Arabidopsis thaliana: one gene and its partner. The protein of the gene in region 2 interacts with the protein of the main gene of each other region in a pairwise test. Each region holds a gene or a part of one and is shown on either strand. Other genes may lie near its edges.

Evidence for each region. Proteins that work in one complex are often made in the same cells at the same time.
Region 1: the proteins of AT5G08650 (region 2) and AT5G51110 interact in a two-hybrid assay, tested with the Arabidopsis thaliana proteins (one large-scale study listed by BioGRID).

Annotation. Positions count from the first base shown.
Region 1 is NC_003076.8:20,776,131-20,782,773, forward strand, and holds AT5G51110 (Transcriptional coactivator/pterin dehydratase), read right to left. Parts: upstream 3,359-6,643; 5' UTR 3,251-3,358; coding exon 2,876-3,250; intron 2,552-2,875; coding exon 2,356-2,551; intron 2,278-2,355; coding exon 2,186-2,277; 3' UTR 1,874-2,185; coding exon of another isoform or gene 1,502-1,873; 3' UTR 1,371-1,501; downstream 1-1,370. Other genes in the region: AT5G51105 (ECA1 gametogenesis family protein (DUF1278)), read left to right, coding at 1,502-1,873; PABN1 (polyadenylate-binding protein 1), read left to right, coding at 3,630-3,785, 3,885-3,987, 4,067-4,189, 4,266-4,324, 4,569-4,760, 4,845-4,963, 5,066-5,111; AT5G51130 (S-adenosyl-L-methionine-dependent methyltransferases superfamily protein), read left to right, coding at 5,766-5,987, 6,084-6,198, 6,400-6,447, 6,572-6,643. UniProt on the Arabidopsis thaliana protein: Involved in tetrahydrobiopterin biosynthesis. Interacts with and acts downstream of the E3 ubiquitin-protein ligase SDIR1 in abscisic acid (ABA) and salt stress signaling.
Region 2 is NC_003076.8:2,806,415-2,816,534, forward strand, and holds the start of AT5G08650 (Small GTP-binding protein), read right to left. Parts: upstream 7,189-10,120; 5' UTR 6,807-7,188; coding exon 6,567-6,806; intron 6,471-6,566; coding exon 6,294-6,470; intron 6,196-6,293; coding exon 6,109-6,195; intron 5,910-6,108; coding exon 5,853-5,909; intron 5,693-5,852; coding exon 5,627-5,692; intron 5,191-5,626; coding exon 5,128-5,190; intron 4,774-5,127; coding exon 4,729-4,773; intron 4,626-4,728; coding exon 4,525-4,625; intron 4,263-4,524; coding exon 4,166-4,262; intron 3,924-4,165; coding exon 3,852-3,923; intron 3,381-3,851; coding exon 3,226-3,380; intron 3,143-3,225; coding exon 3,085-3,142; intron 2,801-3,084; coding exon 2,720-2,800; intron 2,491-2,719; coding exon 2,404-2,490; intron 2,285-2,403; coding exon 2,213-2,284; intron 2,123-2,212; coding exon 1,988-2,122; intron 1,878-1,987; coding exon 1,804-1,877; intron 1,419-1,803; coding exon 1,331-1,418; intron 1,013-1,330; coding exon 935-1,012; intron 849-934; and 8 more. Other genes in the region: AT5G08660 (D-lactate dehydrogenase (DUF668)), read left to right, coding at 8,112-8,420, 8,564-8,877, 8,964-9,056, 9,151-9,241, 9,436-9,529, 9,609-9,706, 9,898-9,967. UniProt on the Arabidopsis thaliana protein: Promotes chloroplast protein synthesis. May act as a fidelity factor of the translation reaction, by catalyzing a one-codon backward translocation of tRNAs on improperly translocated ribosomes.

The sequences.
Region 1 (6,643 bases), about 18 Mb from region 2:
TTCATTCATAAATCGAAAGCAAAATATAAATTATTTGGTTTAATTTTACGATTTTTAATTTCGTTTTTAAACAAAAATCCATATAAAACAAAATGATGATTTCAATTTGGCTAGACCAGACATCTAGTGTTGCAATTTGAGAGGATGATTTCAAGAACTCAAAGCAAAATGATGCATTGACATCTTTGTTTGTTCATATGACGTTGATTTCACTTTCTGTAACCTTTGTATTGAATCTTGCAATTGCATATGATGAGACAACGGAAATAAGTGAAACTAGAACCAATACAAAGTTGTTTAACGTATGAAACCATTTCTAGTTTATTCTAAAATCCAAATGTTTGAGAACATATGTGAGATTCATATAGGGTCAAACATATCTTCAAATTTAAATGGTAACAAATTTTATCTAATTATTGCCGTAAATTTTATACTATTTACTTTTATTAAAATGGTAAATTTATATATTAAAAATCTTTTATGAGTGTTTAAAAATTAGTTTTAAGAAAATAAGATAAATAGTATTTGCAATTAAAAATGTTTGGTAATAATGATATATAGTAGAATTAAAGAAAAAAATACTTGAGAAAAATTGTGGGATTATATCCTAAACACTAAAGACTCTCTTATGTATAGAGGAGAATGATTTTTTTTAAATCAAATTATAGGAAAAAACTATGATTGTGTTGAATAGATAGACACTATATAGTATACTGCATGAAATTTATAGGATAAAAATATGGGCTATATAATTTAATGTTTTAATTTTAAAAGTTAAGTTTTTAGTAATTTGGGAAATAGTAAATTTAAATTTGATTAAATTAATTTATTTGATAAATAAGAAATCTTTCTATAAGCTAAATATTTAGAAATCCGAAAATATTATTTTTGGATGGTGTATTTAATATTAAAATATGTTTGGTTTAAAAAATAATAAGGATAAGGATAAGGATAGTGGAATTAATAGTGTTTGACAATGAGTATATTATATTCAATAAATGAAAAATAAAAATGATGAGAACAATTATGGGCTTGCCACATCTTTTACTATATAGAGGATTCCAAAAAGTTGGAAGAAAAACAATTCCTAAATTGAAAAGATTTTTTTCTTTTTCTTGCTATGAATGTAAATAAAATCTCAAAAAAAAAATTAGGAGATGATATATATCAAGATGAATAAAGACGAAAGAGACTTAAAATTTGTTACTGCTTCCCTTCTGTCATCTTTGTATTATTTCCTATCATATTGTTAGGAAAGATTTATTTCTTTACATATGAGAAATATGACAGCATCAAATTCAATGTGCATCAAACGTTTTGACTATTTTTGATTTTCTTCCAAAATTAAAACGACAAATTTGATTTTGAAAGCAACTTTTAAAAATACGTTTCGCCAAACTAATTACAGTATAAATTGGATCTCATAGCCAATAACTTTATCTCATCAAACAAAACTCAAGTCATCTATTTCTCTTGTTGCATAGTCCCCCAAATATTCATCATGTCGATCAAGAGTGTTGTTTCTCTCCTAGTAGTTGTATGCATCGCAGCCTCCGTTAATGCTCAGCTACCGCAGTTTCCCCCAATCATGTTCCCGTTTCCAAATCCGTTCAAACCAAGTCCCGGTATGGCAGGAAGTCCCGACTTGAGCAAATGTTGGTCAACAGTGATGGATTTGCCGGGATGCTTTGAAGAGATTCAACAAGCCGTAATGTCCGGCAAATTTGAAGGCGTTGGTCCTGCTTGTTGTAAAGCTTTCCTTGACGCTGAAGCTAACTGCTTACCAAATCTTCCATCCAACCCGTTTTTCCCTCCTATGATGAAACACCAATGCTCCAAAATGGCTAGTCCTCCAACCACCACCGCCTATTAGAATGCAAAAATGTAGTTGTGTTTTTTCGAATTTTTTGTTAGTCCCAGAATGTTCTAGAAGAAGAAATGATAATAATAATGTCTTAATCTAATAATAATGTCTCATTTCTTATATTGTGCTCCATATGATTGATGTTCTTTCTTCTTTTGATTGATGAATGAATCTCAAAGACATGTTGCGTGATATCTCTTATGCGGTTATGACAATGCTTTCTATATAACTCGACATGTAGACCGATCACACACAATTTAGAATACATCACATACATTACATACTATCAAACAAAAATGTTCCAAAATAATGAAAAGAAGATCACGCCCAAGCTCTTTTCCTAGGGGAAAGATCAGAAGTCTTGATATCATCTATTTTAGCCGCCATTATGAAATCATTCATGCTCAACCCTCCTGCATTATTCATCCAACAAACCGTCTTAAGAAACCATATATTAAAACTCAAACTCGAACATCAAATATTTGACATACCGATAGAAGAGGTAAATAGTTCAGCTCGAACTTGGGTAGGACTTTCCAAGTGAAGAGAAGGGTAATGACCAGAAGCTTCAGCAACCTTATGGATCCTGTTTATGAGTTCAACACCGCACCCAAAATCCCTCACTTTCCACATACACCTTATTTTCAGACCACCCGCTTCATTATCCACTATACTCCATCCCAAAACCTAAAACGTTTACATAATAATCATTGAGATTGATGTACCACATCATTAGAGTGGTAACCGTGAACCAAAACACCAACATGAGCCTTATCAACACTAATCATTTCATTTTTTTTTAATCTCGTAACCATTGTTCCTAATATGTCCCTCATGATACTAAAATTTTCATTGGCTTTTCTATATTTTTGGGTCACAATTCTATCTTTATAGATTAGAAATCTGTTAAACGCAGAATCAATAACATTTTCACAATATTTTGATCAACCAACAAACTTGTAAAATCAAAACTCGAACATTTTTATACTAAGAGAGAAATAGTATAAGTACCTTGTGGAGGAGAGTTCTGGCATCATCGCCGGACAAAGGAGGCTGTGAAGACGAAACAGGGGAACACTGAAGCTGGGAGAGAGACAAAACAGATGCGTTTGGTATCAAAATCTTGTGCTCAGTGCTTTGGCATCCCAACACTTTATCTCCGAATTGACTCGCTATCTCCTCCGGGTAAGGGTCACGAGCTCCGAAGTCACCAAGAAAATCCTGCGCCAGATTAGACCGGGTCACCGTTAACCGGCCGAGTTTACGGTTATTCCTACTTACAGGTGGTAATAAACCGAACACTTTAAGGATTGAGCGAGAAGGTTGACGGAGGAGGAGGGAGGACGCGGAGATGTTACACGGCGGTGATGATGACGTGGCGGCCATCGGGAGCTGTGATTTGCTCTGTACCGAAGATAAGAGTTTTGGTTTTTAGAGAGCGAAACGATTTTCAGACCACTGGACTGAGTTAAATGGGTGAGGTGCCACGTAATCACTAATGACTAATGGGAACCACAATAAACTTTCGTGGGACCGACTTTACACGTCACGTTTTAATCTGAGAAGCCCATTGGGTTTGATTGTACTTTTGTGTCCACTTTTGGTGAATCTACTTAAGATTTCATAATTCCGAAAGTATCCTTTTTGGGTATCTTTAATTACAAACAAACCTTCCCTTCTTTCCCGATTTCAAGCCCTAAAATTCCGAGACTTCTGTTTCTCGCTTTAACGACAGTCGCCGAGTGAGAGATATAGAGAGAGAAAGATGCCGGTGCACGATGAGCAAGAGCATGAGGTGTACGGTGGAGAGATCCCAGAAGAGGAAGAAGGTGAGATGGATACGGAAGAGTACGAAGAACACGGCGGAGAAGAAGGTGCCGCCGCCGGAGATGAGGAGCTTGAACCTGGCTCTAGCTCTAGGGTATTGTGATTCTTCGATCTATAATTTACTTTTATCCAATTGAGACTCTTCTTATTTTTTACTGTATTTAGTCTGTTATTTGCTTTGATTGTTTGATAGGACTTGGAGGATATGAAGAAACGAATTAAGGAGATTGAGGAAGAAGCTGGAGCTTTGCGTGAAATGCAAGCCAAGGCTGAGAAAGATATGGGTGCTAGTCAAGGTTTGTACTTATTAACTGATACGTAAAATCTTGAATCTTTGTGCGCAGCTTCACATTAACCTTTAAATTGATAGATTAGGTTTAAAGCTTGTCTTGTTGATTATGATATTGCTTTGGGTTTACATATTGGAATCTTTTAGTGAATCAATGAATCTGTCTAGAAATTTACTGGAGTTTGAGTATGAGAAGGAAATCATTAATAGTATTGTGGAGTCTTGTCAGTTAGCTAATTGGGTCAATACCTTTTATGTTGTTGCATATCAATGAAGACCCTTCAGGTGGTGTTAGTGCGGCTGAGAAGGAAGAAGTGGATTCGCGTTCAATATATGTTGGCAATGTGAGGCTTGTTCCACCATTAATTTTCACATGTTTCTCATATATGTTTGTATCTTTTTTAAAGAAAGTTTGTGTGTTTTATTGCTTTGGTATCAATGAAATTTGGAGGCTGCTTGTTGTTTATTTCTTTATCTCTAGTAATTGCTAAACTAACTTTCCTTCATATTTCAGAAAGCCTTCATATCTCCCATCTGTGAAGCTGATTCTTTAGATATCCTGTGTCTTTGTTTTTTTGTGTATATTAGGTGGACTATGCATGTACTCCAGAGGAAGTCCAGCAGCATTTTCAATCATGTGGGACAGTGAATAGGGTTACAATTCTGACAGATAAGTTTGGTCAACCTAAAGGTTTTGCGTATGTCGAATTTGTGGAAGTAGAAGCTGTTCAGAATTCGCTTATTTTGAACGAGTCAGAACTACATGGTCGTCAGATAAAGGTGCAAACTCGTTCAATACGATGTAGTTAATTATTTTCCATATTACGATTTGTCATTACTAAACTTTGTTTAATCTATTTTCAGGTATCTGCAAAGAGGACTAATGTACCTGGAATGAGGCAATTTCGAGGAAGAGGGCGTCCCTTTAGACCGATGAGGGGATTCATGCCAGGAGTTCCATTTTATCCTCCATATGCTTATGGGTGTGTTCTAGAACCTTACCTGCCTATCCTCTCTTTTAAAGTCCATTTGTTTGATTCATCATGGTTGTTCATAAAATTGACAATGGTTGATGGTTTGTGCAGGAGAGTTCCCAGGTTCAGACGGCCTATGCGCTACAGACCGTACTGATTAGGCAAATTGGTGTTAAAAAAGTAGCAGCTGCTTCTCCGTTTTCGGGAAAGCTTATCATCATCAACACGGTTCATCGGACGCTGCAGTTGTTTCGATTAACAGAGATGAGTTGAAGAATTGTATGGCAGAAGAGAGAGGGGAATTATATTCTAGATTTTCTGTACAATATTTGATGACAAGTGCAACATTTTGATGAGTTCCTTTGTTTTTATTATCTTCAAACACGAGTCACGATTTCACAATAACTCGCAAGCTTCCATTGTTCTAGATTTGATGCATATTGACCAAAAAAAAACAAAAGTTAATTCTCTAAGATTAATTTGGCCACGTCGGTGAAAGAAAAGGAAACTTTCGTATATTTACATAAATAGGTTTAAAGAATGTATTAACTAAAAAAGAGAGGATTACTTAAATATGAGACTCGTTAAACCCTTTTGGACTTTCAAAGGCGGTTCGGTTCTTCTTCTTCTTCTTCCTCCTCGCTCTGCGCCGCTTAACCTCGAAGAAAAACCTCTCTAGGAGCTAGCTTCGTCGAATCTCTCTGTTTAGACTTAATCGTTTTGTTTCGATTCTAAGAATCTAGCTGATAGCGATAACATAGAAGAAACCCTAACTTCGCGAGCTTTGTTCATCAACGCGTGTGAGAAAAAAATGGGTCGGGACAACGATCAGAAGAAGAATAAGAAGAAGAGAAACAGAAGTAATGAGAATGAGAAGAGTGTTGAGAAAGTAGTTGCTAATGAAGAGAAAGTCCCAACACAGCAGAAGCAGAAGCAACAACAAGGACAACAAGGAAATTGTAATCAAAGCAAGAAGAAGAAGAATCAAGAAGTTTATCCCTTCGGAAATTACAGAAACTACTATGGCTACCGAGTGAGTTTCGTAGTATATTTTCAAATTCCTTCATAGTCTGCTCATCTTTTGGTTTAGTATCTGATTTTGGATTCGTTTGGCAACATAATGTGTTAGATAAGCAATGACACGGATGAGGATCCTCGGCTTAAAGTGTTGAAGAAGGAATGGTTTGAAGGCAAAGACTGTCTTGACATTGGCTGCAACAGCGGCATCATGACTATTCATATTGGTATCTTCTTCTTATCAATATCATAATTTGTTCCTATCTATGTCCATCCATTATAGTAATAGATATGTTGTTGTAGCTATACCTGTCCTTATGAGAATGCTATAGTAAAGTGTGATTGAACTTCCATTGTGTCTGAAATCTCTCTGGCAGCATCCATAATTTTATATAGTCGTTAGCTGATATTGTTTTGCTCTTCTTCAGCAAAAAAGTTCGGTTGCCGGAGCATTCTTGGAGTTGACATTGATACAAGTAAGACTATAATTGGTTGTCATAATATCTTCCAAGTTTTGCTTTGTGTAGGAACTGAATTATACTCTTAACTACATTATCATTCAAGTCTGCACTAAATGAACTATGTTTTCTTTGATTGAAGGTCGCATTGAGGATGCTCACTGGCATCTTAGGAAGTTTGTCAGAATGCAGAATTCTACTAAGCCTAGTGAAA
Region 2 (10,120 bases):
AATGAAATGCGAAAAATAATTGCATTATGTGAAATTAGTTTGCAGAATATTACAAAATGATAAAATAAAATATGATGTAGTGAATCTTGAGTGACTCAGTGGAGAAACCCACAAGATGTCACAATACTTCTCGTTCAAGTTTGAGAACGGCCATGAAAGCTTCTTGAGGGACATCAACTCTACCTATGGCTTTCATTCTCTTCTTACCTGCCGCCTGTTCAAAACAAAAACTCATTTTAAGGAACACAGAAACCGCTGAAGATACAATCATGAAATCAAGATTTCGCCCTTATAGAGAGATATACCTGTTTCTTAAGAAGCTTCTTCTTCCGAGAAATATCTCCACCTGAATGAATGTAACAAGATCAGATATGCCCTCGTGGGAACAAACACGTCAAAGAGAAAACTACTTCATTTTCTGTGTCTGAATCTAGTTGTACAAGAAAGAGCCTTTAGAAGAAGTTTCTGATAATACAAGAGCTTACACTAAAATGGTAAATGAGTTTCGATATCAAGTCAGCTGGTGGTTATTTCATGCTTTTATAAAAGGAGGAAGGGAACCAAGGGAATGTGTACTTACCATAACATTTTGCCAAAACATCTTTTCTGATTGCTGAGAGTGCTTCACTAGCAATCACCTTGGATCCTATACAAGCCTGCAAGTATATGTGTATGTCAAAACATCTTCCGTGGTTTCTATATTCTAAGGGCATTGTCAGATAACCAAGCAGGAACACAATTCATCAGACCCATTTGATCACAAGTAAGTTTTTTAAAAGCTCAGAAGAAGAAGAGTTTAAGATCCAATCCATCTTATGTGCCTCAGGCCCTCGGTGTAAGATTCAAATCTTCAAGCATTCGTAGAAATGTAAGTTATTTGGAAGAGAACTCTCTAGCCAATTGTTTGCAAATGCTTGGAAATGCAGATATATACCTGGATGGGCACTTTAAACATTTGTCGTGGAATAAGCTCTTTGAGTTTCTGAGTCAAAGCTCTCCCAACGGAATATGCCTGGAATCACAGTACAAAACGATTCCACAATACTGTGAGGACAAGATATAAATCATTGCTAAATCGTGAGAGATGTACTAATCTCTGCCGTAAGAGCTTTAAGCTAATGGGAACAGTTCTACAAAACTTTACAATCAGAGATGTGTAAAAGATAGTTGGCAGCGCCTCGTGTTTCCATCAATCTACTTATCCAAACTTTTTGGGCAAGTGAAATTGTATCAATGAGATTGCTGAACCAAATTTTTGTATTCAGGTGTAAGAGTGCGTATGTATGCTGTATTCATAAAAGTTCATATTAAAGAGCTTAAGCAAAATAACCTTATCCCTGTGTACGATGGTTGACAAAGGTTCCACCATTTCAGCATTAATCAGAATATCGAGTTTTATCAGATCACTTTCCCTGTACCTGCTCACATATTACAAGACAAAAAAAAAAAGTTGAATACCTTAAGATGGTAAGAAAGACATCAAAAAGAGCAAAAGAAACATATTATGTATTAAGCTTAAATGGAAACTGACGAAGCTGAGTAGTTAACTTGTATAAAGAAGGGCTACCAAATTTAACGATAGAGAGCAACACGATAATTAACCTGATTGAAATTGATCTGATGCTGCTAAGCAAATATATATATTTTAGATACTTGTTTATCACTTTGGGATTACTATGAAAAGAATATAGATTCTTATCTTCACAAAAAAGCTGACGCATTTCTTTGTTAATCAACAAAAATAGAAGGCAAGCATCACAAAGTAAGAGAAAGATCTGTGTATTAAAAGTTGAAAGATCTAACCCAATAACGGAGTATTCCATGCTAGCATATCCCTTGGTTCTCGACTTCAATTGGTCAAAGAAATCACCCACCATCTGCAAAATGGCAGGGAGCGATTAACAAGAAGATCAGTTTACATAATCAAGAGAGACATGGCTAAACTTTCATTGGGGTTATCTTAACTCTGCACAAGCAGAGATCTCACCTCTGCAAGAGGTAACTCATAGAGGATTGAAGCTCTGTTCTCAGCTATATATTTCATTTCTTTGAACTCCCCTCTCCTCTCTTGAGCGAGCTCCATAAGCGCACCAATATAGTCTTTTGGTGTGAGCAGTTCAATCTGTATAAAATGGTTTTGCAGTAAGGAAATGTAATTCTACGAAATGTGGTGTGTGAACTTATCAGCAATATCTCCAGTAGAAAAGGCAACCTTAACGTATGGCTCCTCGACCGATTTCCTTTGCCCAGGATCTGGAAGGCGTGATGGATTTGAGCACAAAGTCTGCAGTAAAATTGATTTCACAGGTAATAAGGCTCTAGATCAAGAAAGAAAGACAAAAGGATGCGATTTTCAGGGAACAAAGAAGAATATTTAAAAGTTTGGGATCAAGAGGAAATTACAGTATCACCATTTACAGAGTTCACCCTATAAACAACACTTGGAGCTGTGGTAATAAGATTTAAGTTGTACTCCCTCTCTAGCCTTTCCTGTGAAGAAGAGTGAACTGGAGCGTAAGAACAAAGAATGATATAATTCACTTTGTTGAGTATAATTTATGGCGGGTATCTATCGGGGAGGAAACTGTAAATAAGTAAAATACTAACAGATAACTCAGTATCTATGAATTTCTTTTCTCTATCTTCTGTTGCATAGGAAATTTTCAGTCAGAGACGCACCAAAAACACTTTAGAACAAGAAGAGCGAAACATATCTGACCTGCACAATTTCCATGTGGAGAAGACCCAAAAACCCGCATCTAAAGCCAAATCCCATGGCACTCGAAGTTTCAGGCTCAAACTGCAGGATAAAAACCAAGTTGAGGACAAACCTATAGATATGTTAATGCTAACGTATACGCTCCTTAGACCAAATGTGAATATTTTTAACAAAGATACATACAATAGAGGACTGAAGACCAGTTCTTTGCAAAACACAATTTTACTTTCCAATTCGAAGCCAACTGGGCATAAACATACATTGGCTAAGTAAGCATACGAAGACCATAGTTGTTTCGTCCGTGCAAATTATTCTGGGTACAGATGAAAGAAAAATGTTGTTTCTGTCATTTAATTCTACTATACCTTCAATGCAGCATCATTGAGTTGCAGTTTTTCCAATGCATCGCGAAGATCGGGAAACCTGCCATCATAGACCAGGTGTGAAAAAAAAAAATACAAAATGAAAAAGCAAAAAGTCAACAATGAAAAACAAAAACTCAGTACTGGTCAGCGTCAACTGGAAAAAGACCACAGAACACCATAGGGGTAGCTTCCTCGTAACCAGGTAAAGAGCTTTCTGCCTTTCTGCTATAATGTGTTATTGTATCTCCTACCCTGGCATCTGCAACAGATCTTACAGAAGCCGCAATATATCCTACCTGTATTTAAGGACAGTAACCTTTAAAATATGTGCAAGAAATGTGGCATGATATTCAGGCATATCTGATATACACCAGCAGCATCAATCAGTGCTAAAAACATCTTTCTAGCTATTAGAACTTGAGCAAGGGAAGATGCAACTAACCATTTCTTCTCAAATATAGCCAAACAAGAAAAGTGAAAACATATTTGTTTCATTGCATTCAAATTGTTATTAACCACAACTCTATCTTCTGCCAAAGCTGCTACAAGGAAATGCTAAGAAAATCCTTCCATTTACAAACGCTTTTAGTTTTCCTATTAACATGTGTTGGAATAGAACGGCGGAAACTGCAAAAGAATACTGACATTTTCATTTCATAATACCAAGGTTTCTGCTGAAAGAAAAAAATTCAACAAGAAAATGGGACATGGATGCACAGGAAAGTAAACAAAACAAACAAAATATTATGTTCAAAAGAGTACACTACCTCACCCGCATATAATTCATCCACTTGAATTTGATTTGGAGATAGAACTCCGACTTCATCCGCAAAATAATCCTGCAATTGATGCAAAACTGAGAACATGAAGGATACTAGTGAAACACAAGTAAGCGTTCTTAAAAGCTTAAACATTCTCAAATTTTTCCTGAAAGAATTATAGAATAACACTTCACATCGCTTTATTCAAATAGACCGCGAAAACCTATCTCATGCACAAATTACATTCAATTCATTATTGGCAAATGGAAAGCTATCTCGATTAAATAGAAAGACAGTACAGTAGAGTAAAAGAGATAAACCTTTCCGCTTGCCATGAAAAAAATTCTGTCGCCTTTCTTCACTTTCCCATCGATAACTCGAAAGTATACAATGACACCACGATATGGATCATAATAACTGCAGCAAAATGAATTTTGGACGAAAAATATAAAGTAGTTCACATATAAAAACTGCACACTTGTAGACTAATCAAGCAAAACAAACACGAGTATTTCACACTCATTTTTAGTTCACCAGTGATTAACTGGTACTGACTTGACATGCCAATGATCAGTCCAATCATTATATACGAATACAACTTCGACTCCAAGACTCAATTTCATACTGTTTTCTCTAGAAAAGGCAAAAATCGTTATGAATAAAAACAACAAGTGCAAACCTGTCAAAAATTAAAGCTCTTAAGGGCTTTCCTGCAGTATCGAGAGGTGCAGGTATCCTTTGAACAATTGCATCCAAAATCTCGGTAATACCAATTCCCTCCTGCGTGTATATATTATTCCCCAAAAATTGTAATTGAATGGATAGAAAGCCACACGTCTTAATTTTTGGGTAGCAGAATAGCAAAACAATTTTAAAATCTAACCTTTGCCGAACAGAATATCGCTTTGCTACAATCTAACCCAATAACCTACAAACAATATGAATTATCAATCAGTGTTCACATAAAGGCTGATGTCTCTGAAATTGCAGCAATGAGACAATTACCCCATTCGAGGAACATGAGACTGGATCATAATATCACAAAGAAAATGTTTAAAGCATAAAAGAATGTACCGCAATAATCAACATAATATCTAATACTAGAAGCTAGAACCTTGTAAAATGTCAAGATAACATATTGACAACAGAAAAATAAAAGACTGAAGAGTTTTTGCAGACACCCAAAAAGGAATACTGTTCAAATTATTACTGGTTGCATTGTATGATTGCTATTGAATACGAACATCATAAAATGGGTAACACAATGAACATAATCACCAACCTCCTCAATCTCCCTGAGAACTTTCTCTGGCTCAGCGCCTGGAAGGTCAATCTTATTTAAAACCTGCAGGAAGAAGTAGAGTTCATTTGCTTTAAACTCTGGTATGCAGACCAAATATTTGAAAGAAGAATAAACCACCTTACATTATTATTTCCTGTATAGTCATGAATCAGGTTGAAGCAATAATGAAACGTTAAATGATATAATCATTTTATCCTAGACTAGCTATTCTTTTCTTTACTACGCATCTTCTATGTACTGCCAGAGTGATACTACCTATTTTTTTTAACATATTTGCCTTGTTTGAAAGTTAACTTATTGCAGACTCCGACTTCTTTTAAATAAAACGACATTGACATTTTTAAATAATCTTCCATGGAGATGAGACGAAGGAAAGAATGATGATAACTACCACATATAGTTGAAATGTGATTTGTTAAAAGGAATGATGATAACTAGCACATATAGCTAATAAGATGAAGCATAATTCCGTACTTACGGGAATAATTTCGAGGTTGTTTTCCAAGGCCAAATACACATTAGCCAATGTTTGTGCTTCCACACCCTAAAGCACATGATAGAGGAAGTTTAAGTTTTTCAGTAATGTAAGTATGTAACCATCAGAAAAGAACGAAATTACCAAGCGAAAAAACGGCATAAACAATACAGATTCCAGGTTTCCACAGCGTGTCAGAAAATTGTATGTCAAGAGAAAGAAAAATCACCTGGGATGCATCCACAACAAGAAGAGCACCCTCGCAAGCAGCAAGAGATCGGGAAACCTATGTACAAATAAACAGTGCATTCTTCATCAAAACTGCAACTTAATAGTTTGTGTATATTCCTAACTGTAAAAAAAATTACGCTTTTAGGTGATATATAACACTCAAACCAAGTAACTTCTCACATATGAAAAATAACTATAAGGCTAAGCTTCAAATGTATCCGTAGACAATAAGTAGATTAGAATATTGTAAGTACCTCGTAAGAGAAATCAACATGACCTGGAGTATCTATCAAGTTGAGGCAAAACGGTGTATCTTCATAAACATAACGCATTCGAGCTGCCTACACAAACATACACCGCAAAGTTACAAATCAGACCGTTGAGCAATCTTATCGAAACTGATTTTTGATTGTGCAGAGAAAGCGATTGAAAGAAAAACCTGAAGCTTGATAGTGATGCCTCGTTCTCTCTCTAAGTCCATGTTATCAAGAAACTGCTCCTTCATATCTCTGTTCTGAACAGTACCAGTCACCTGAAGCAACTTATCCGCTAACGTAGATTTCCCATGATCAATATGAGCTATAATACTAAAATTCCTGATGTTCGAAATTGGAACCTGCGAATTTCATAACAAATTCAGTTTCAAAAAAAATCCAAATTCTTCTCAAGTTTCGGCACACGGATGAAGAGAGAGAACAAAACAGAACCCGACCTTCAAAAGACGGTCTTGACCAGAACGGGCGGCTAATTTGGAGCCAGAGACAGAGAGACCGCTCTGAGGCTCAGTTCCAGCTGTGGCTTGGCAAAGTATCTGTAACTTCCGATTAGAGTGACGGCGGAATCCAGAGACGGAAATGGAGGAGAGACGACGGAGAGATGGGGAAGATGTAGAAGTTCCGGATAAGAAAAACGTTGGAGGAGAAGATAAGTCCATAGCAGAAGCCATGGCCATGGCACTGTCTAAGCTCTCTACACCTCTCTCTACTGTTTTGAGAGAAATTCAAAGTATCCTGAGCCACAGACTATGTAACTGGGCCACTGTATCCAATTGGGCCTGTCCATCGGATTCTAACCCACCCGACCCGATTCGATCCAAATCTGTTTTCTTAAAATAACGAATTTGTTTTGTGTGAATTAAACCGAAATTAGACCACAAATTTAATGAAACTGAACAAGATCAAATAAATTGATTTTAAATCAGATAATTCTAAACCCAAAAATATTCGAAGTAGAACATCAAATGTCAAAAAACATAGAAATAAGCTTTTTGTTCAATATTGTTGTGCTATGATTTGATTCGATGAACCAGAAATCATGCATTTTGAGAATATAAGACTCTTTTTTATTCAATGATGAGTTGATTAGTGTTTAATCATTTCTTATATAAGATCTTCACATGCCTTTTAAGACTAATTTAATCCCTATGAAAAGTCCTAACCTTTTAGCGCAATTTCGGTTTAGAAGTAAGAGGAGTGAGGGATTGAAAGTAAAGATGAGTTTTTTACTTGCACGGAATGTAAAAAGACAGAGCACAAAATGAGTCAATGGCGTGGTAATAAGGGACGATTTGACCAATCCATCACCGCCTGTGACTCTTTTTATTAACATGGAGTGTGAGGAGATTAAAAGAAAAAAGGTTTAGACTTTTCTTCGTTTGTTTCTTTATCAAGCTGGTTGTTTCAATTTGGCTTTAGCTGATGCCAATTTGGTGTGGTCCAATCTCTCTTTTAATTTTTGTTTTTCTGATTTCTTCCTTCGTTCCTAGTTCATACTACTCTCCTTGACTTTCTCCTTTTTAACATCAATTCTCTCGTGTTCGAGGTTCCTTTGTCTCTTTTGTCTTTTCACTGTTGTGTGTCGTGAATCCCAAGCTCTATACCTCCGAAATTGGCTTGGCCCAAGTCTTTTCTGGTCTTTTTCTCTACTGGGTAAGTCTTCTTCTTCGCATTCCTCTCCTCAAAATACGATCTTGCTTAGGTTTTTTGGAGAAAGAAGACTTGCACAGTGTTTGACTTAAAGGCTTTTACTTCGTGAACGGCTTTGGCTTTATGTGAATCTGTTAATTTCCCCCAAGGCGATTACAATGTCTTAAACTATTTCGGACACGATCCTATCTCTGTGTTACTAATTTAGTTTGGAAGATTTGGTCTCCTTGAGTCTCTTGATCTGACTTTTTCCTTTGTTCTAGGTTATTACTCTTCCCCACAGTGGCATGATCTTTTCGATAACTTAGCTTAAAGGTCTTTGGAAAAGAGTTATGGGGAGTTTTTGCTCCAAGAGCCTTGGAATCAATTTTGGCAGCGAGTATTCTGGTTCTAGTGTGGCTGATGATGGTCGAGAACCTGATTTTGGCCACTCACAACCAAATGGGCAAACCAGTTTGATTGTTCCTGGTATGAGGCAGCTTATGGTTAAAGACGTCAAGGAACAAAATCAATTAAAAGATGTTTTCTCTTTCCGCGAAAGGGAAGCTGAAGATAATTTCTATGATGGAATTCCGACGTATACTATGGCTCCATCACAGAAAATTCGGTCTGCAAAATCAACTCAAACCGCTGTTTCAAAGGTTAGTATGGACCAAATGAAGCTCCTTTTTTAGCAACTAAGATTAAGAGTTAAAGCATTGTCTCTTAGTAACGGCAAGTGTCTTTTAAGTTTAGAAGTCCTGAAATGTCGTGAGACCAATCCGAATTTGCTATACTGTGGCAGGTTACAGAGGCAAGTAAGCTTTTAGGCAAAGCGGGGTTAGGTAGAGCAAAAGATGTTTTGGATACCCTTGGAAGTAGCATGACAGATCTTAGTAGCGGTGGATTTACTTCTGGAGTTGCAACTAAAGGCAATGAACTTGGGATCTTAGCTTTTGAAGTAGCAAACACAATTGTCAAAAGCTCAAATCTCATTGAATCCCTTTCTAAGAGGAACATCGAGCATTTAAAAGGAACTATCCTTTATTCTGAGGGTGTTCAAAACCTAGTCTCGAATGATTTCGATGAACTACTCAGACTTGTTGCAGCTGATAAGAGGTGAAAATTTTAGTCTAGACGGCTTCTTTTGTTTTTTCCTAGCTTTTTTAAAACATGGCAAGATAGTTAACTTGATATATTTGCAGGCAGGAGCTGCAAGTTTTCTCGGGGGAAGTGGTTCGGTTTGGAAACCGATCCAAAGATTTTCAGTGGCATAATTTACAGCGCTATTTCGATAGGTAGCTTTATTCAAAATATTTGTACATGGGAGAATGTTAATATTTGTTTGTCTAGCTTTCTTTTAAGCTGCCGAATCGTTTCTTTTGTCCTCAGGATCAGCAAAGAATTAACCCCTCAAAGGCAGTTAAAGGAAGACGCGGTGTTGGTTGTTGACCAACTGATGGTTCTAGTGCAGTATACTGCTGTGAGTGACTACTTTCAAAAATTAGAAACTCTAAAAGCATATTGACTTGTTCTTGCTACTTAGATGTGGTGTTCTGTGCGTTGAGCTATCAGCTATCTTCTTTAGTAGCTGTTTACTTTCGAAAGAATATGTGATAAAAAAAGGGAGGTTATTTGTCATGTCACTCACACATCTCAATATCTCTTTTGGTTCAGGAACTATACCAAGAACTCCAAGTATTGTATCGATTGGAGAAAGACTATGAGCAAAAGCGTCGAGAAGAAGAGAACTCAGCTAATAGCAGTAAGGGTAAGTTACCGAAGACTACTTGGCTGCTTTATTAGATTTGGAACATCGTTTAAATGACAGTACTCTTTTCTTCACGTAGGTGATGGCCTTGCAATCTTAAAAACGGAACTTAAAGCCCAGAGAAAGGTAGTGAAAAGCTTAAAGAAAAAGTCGTTGTGGTCCAGAGGTTTTGAAGAGGTGTGTACAGATTTATCAACTAACACCACCAATCCTTCAGCTATATGGTGTAAATGCATCATTTTAAATCACTTTAAACATTACACTTCACCAACTAAAATTCAGTCAAACCAAATCTCTTGTTTTAAAAAATCTTGCTAACATAAATAGATTATTATGATCTTTAACTTACCTGCTAATTTGTATTTCAGGTGATGGAGAAACTAGTAGACATTGTACATTTCTTGTTGCTAGAGATTCATAATATCTTCGGTGGTGCCGGTATGTAAGTTCCTCCTTTTTGTACCTTCACCATGTGCTACTGAGCATGTATCTAAGCTTTTGATTTTTTCTCTCGTCCACTACTCTTTTTTACTACATGCTCTAATATATCTTGTTAATTGATCCTCCATAATTAAGTTTTCACGCAACAAC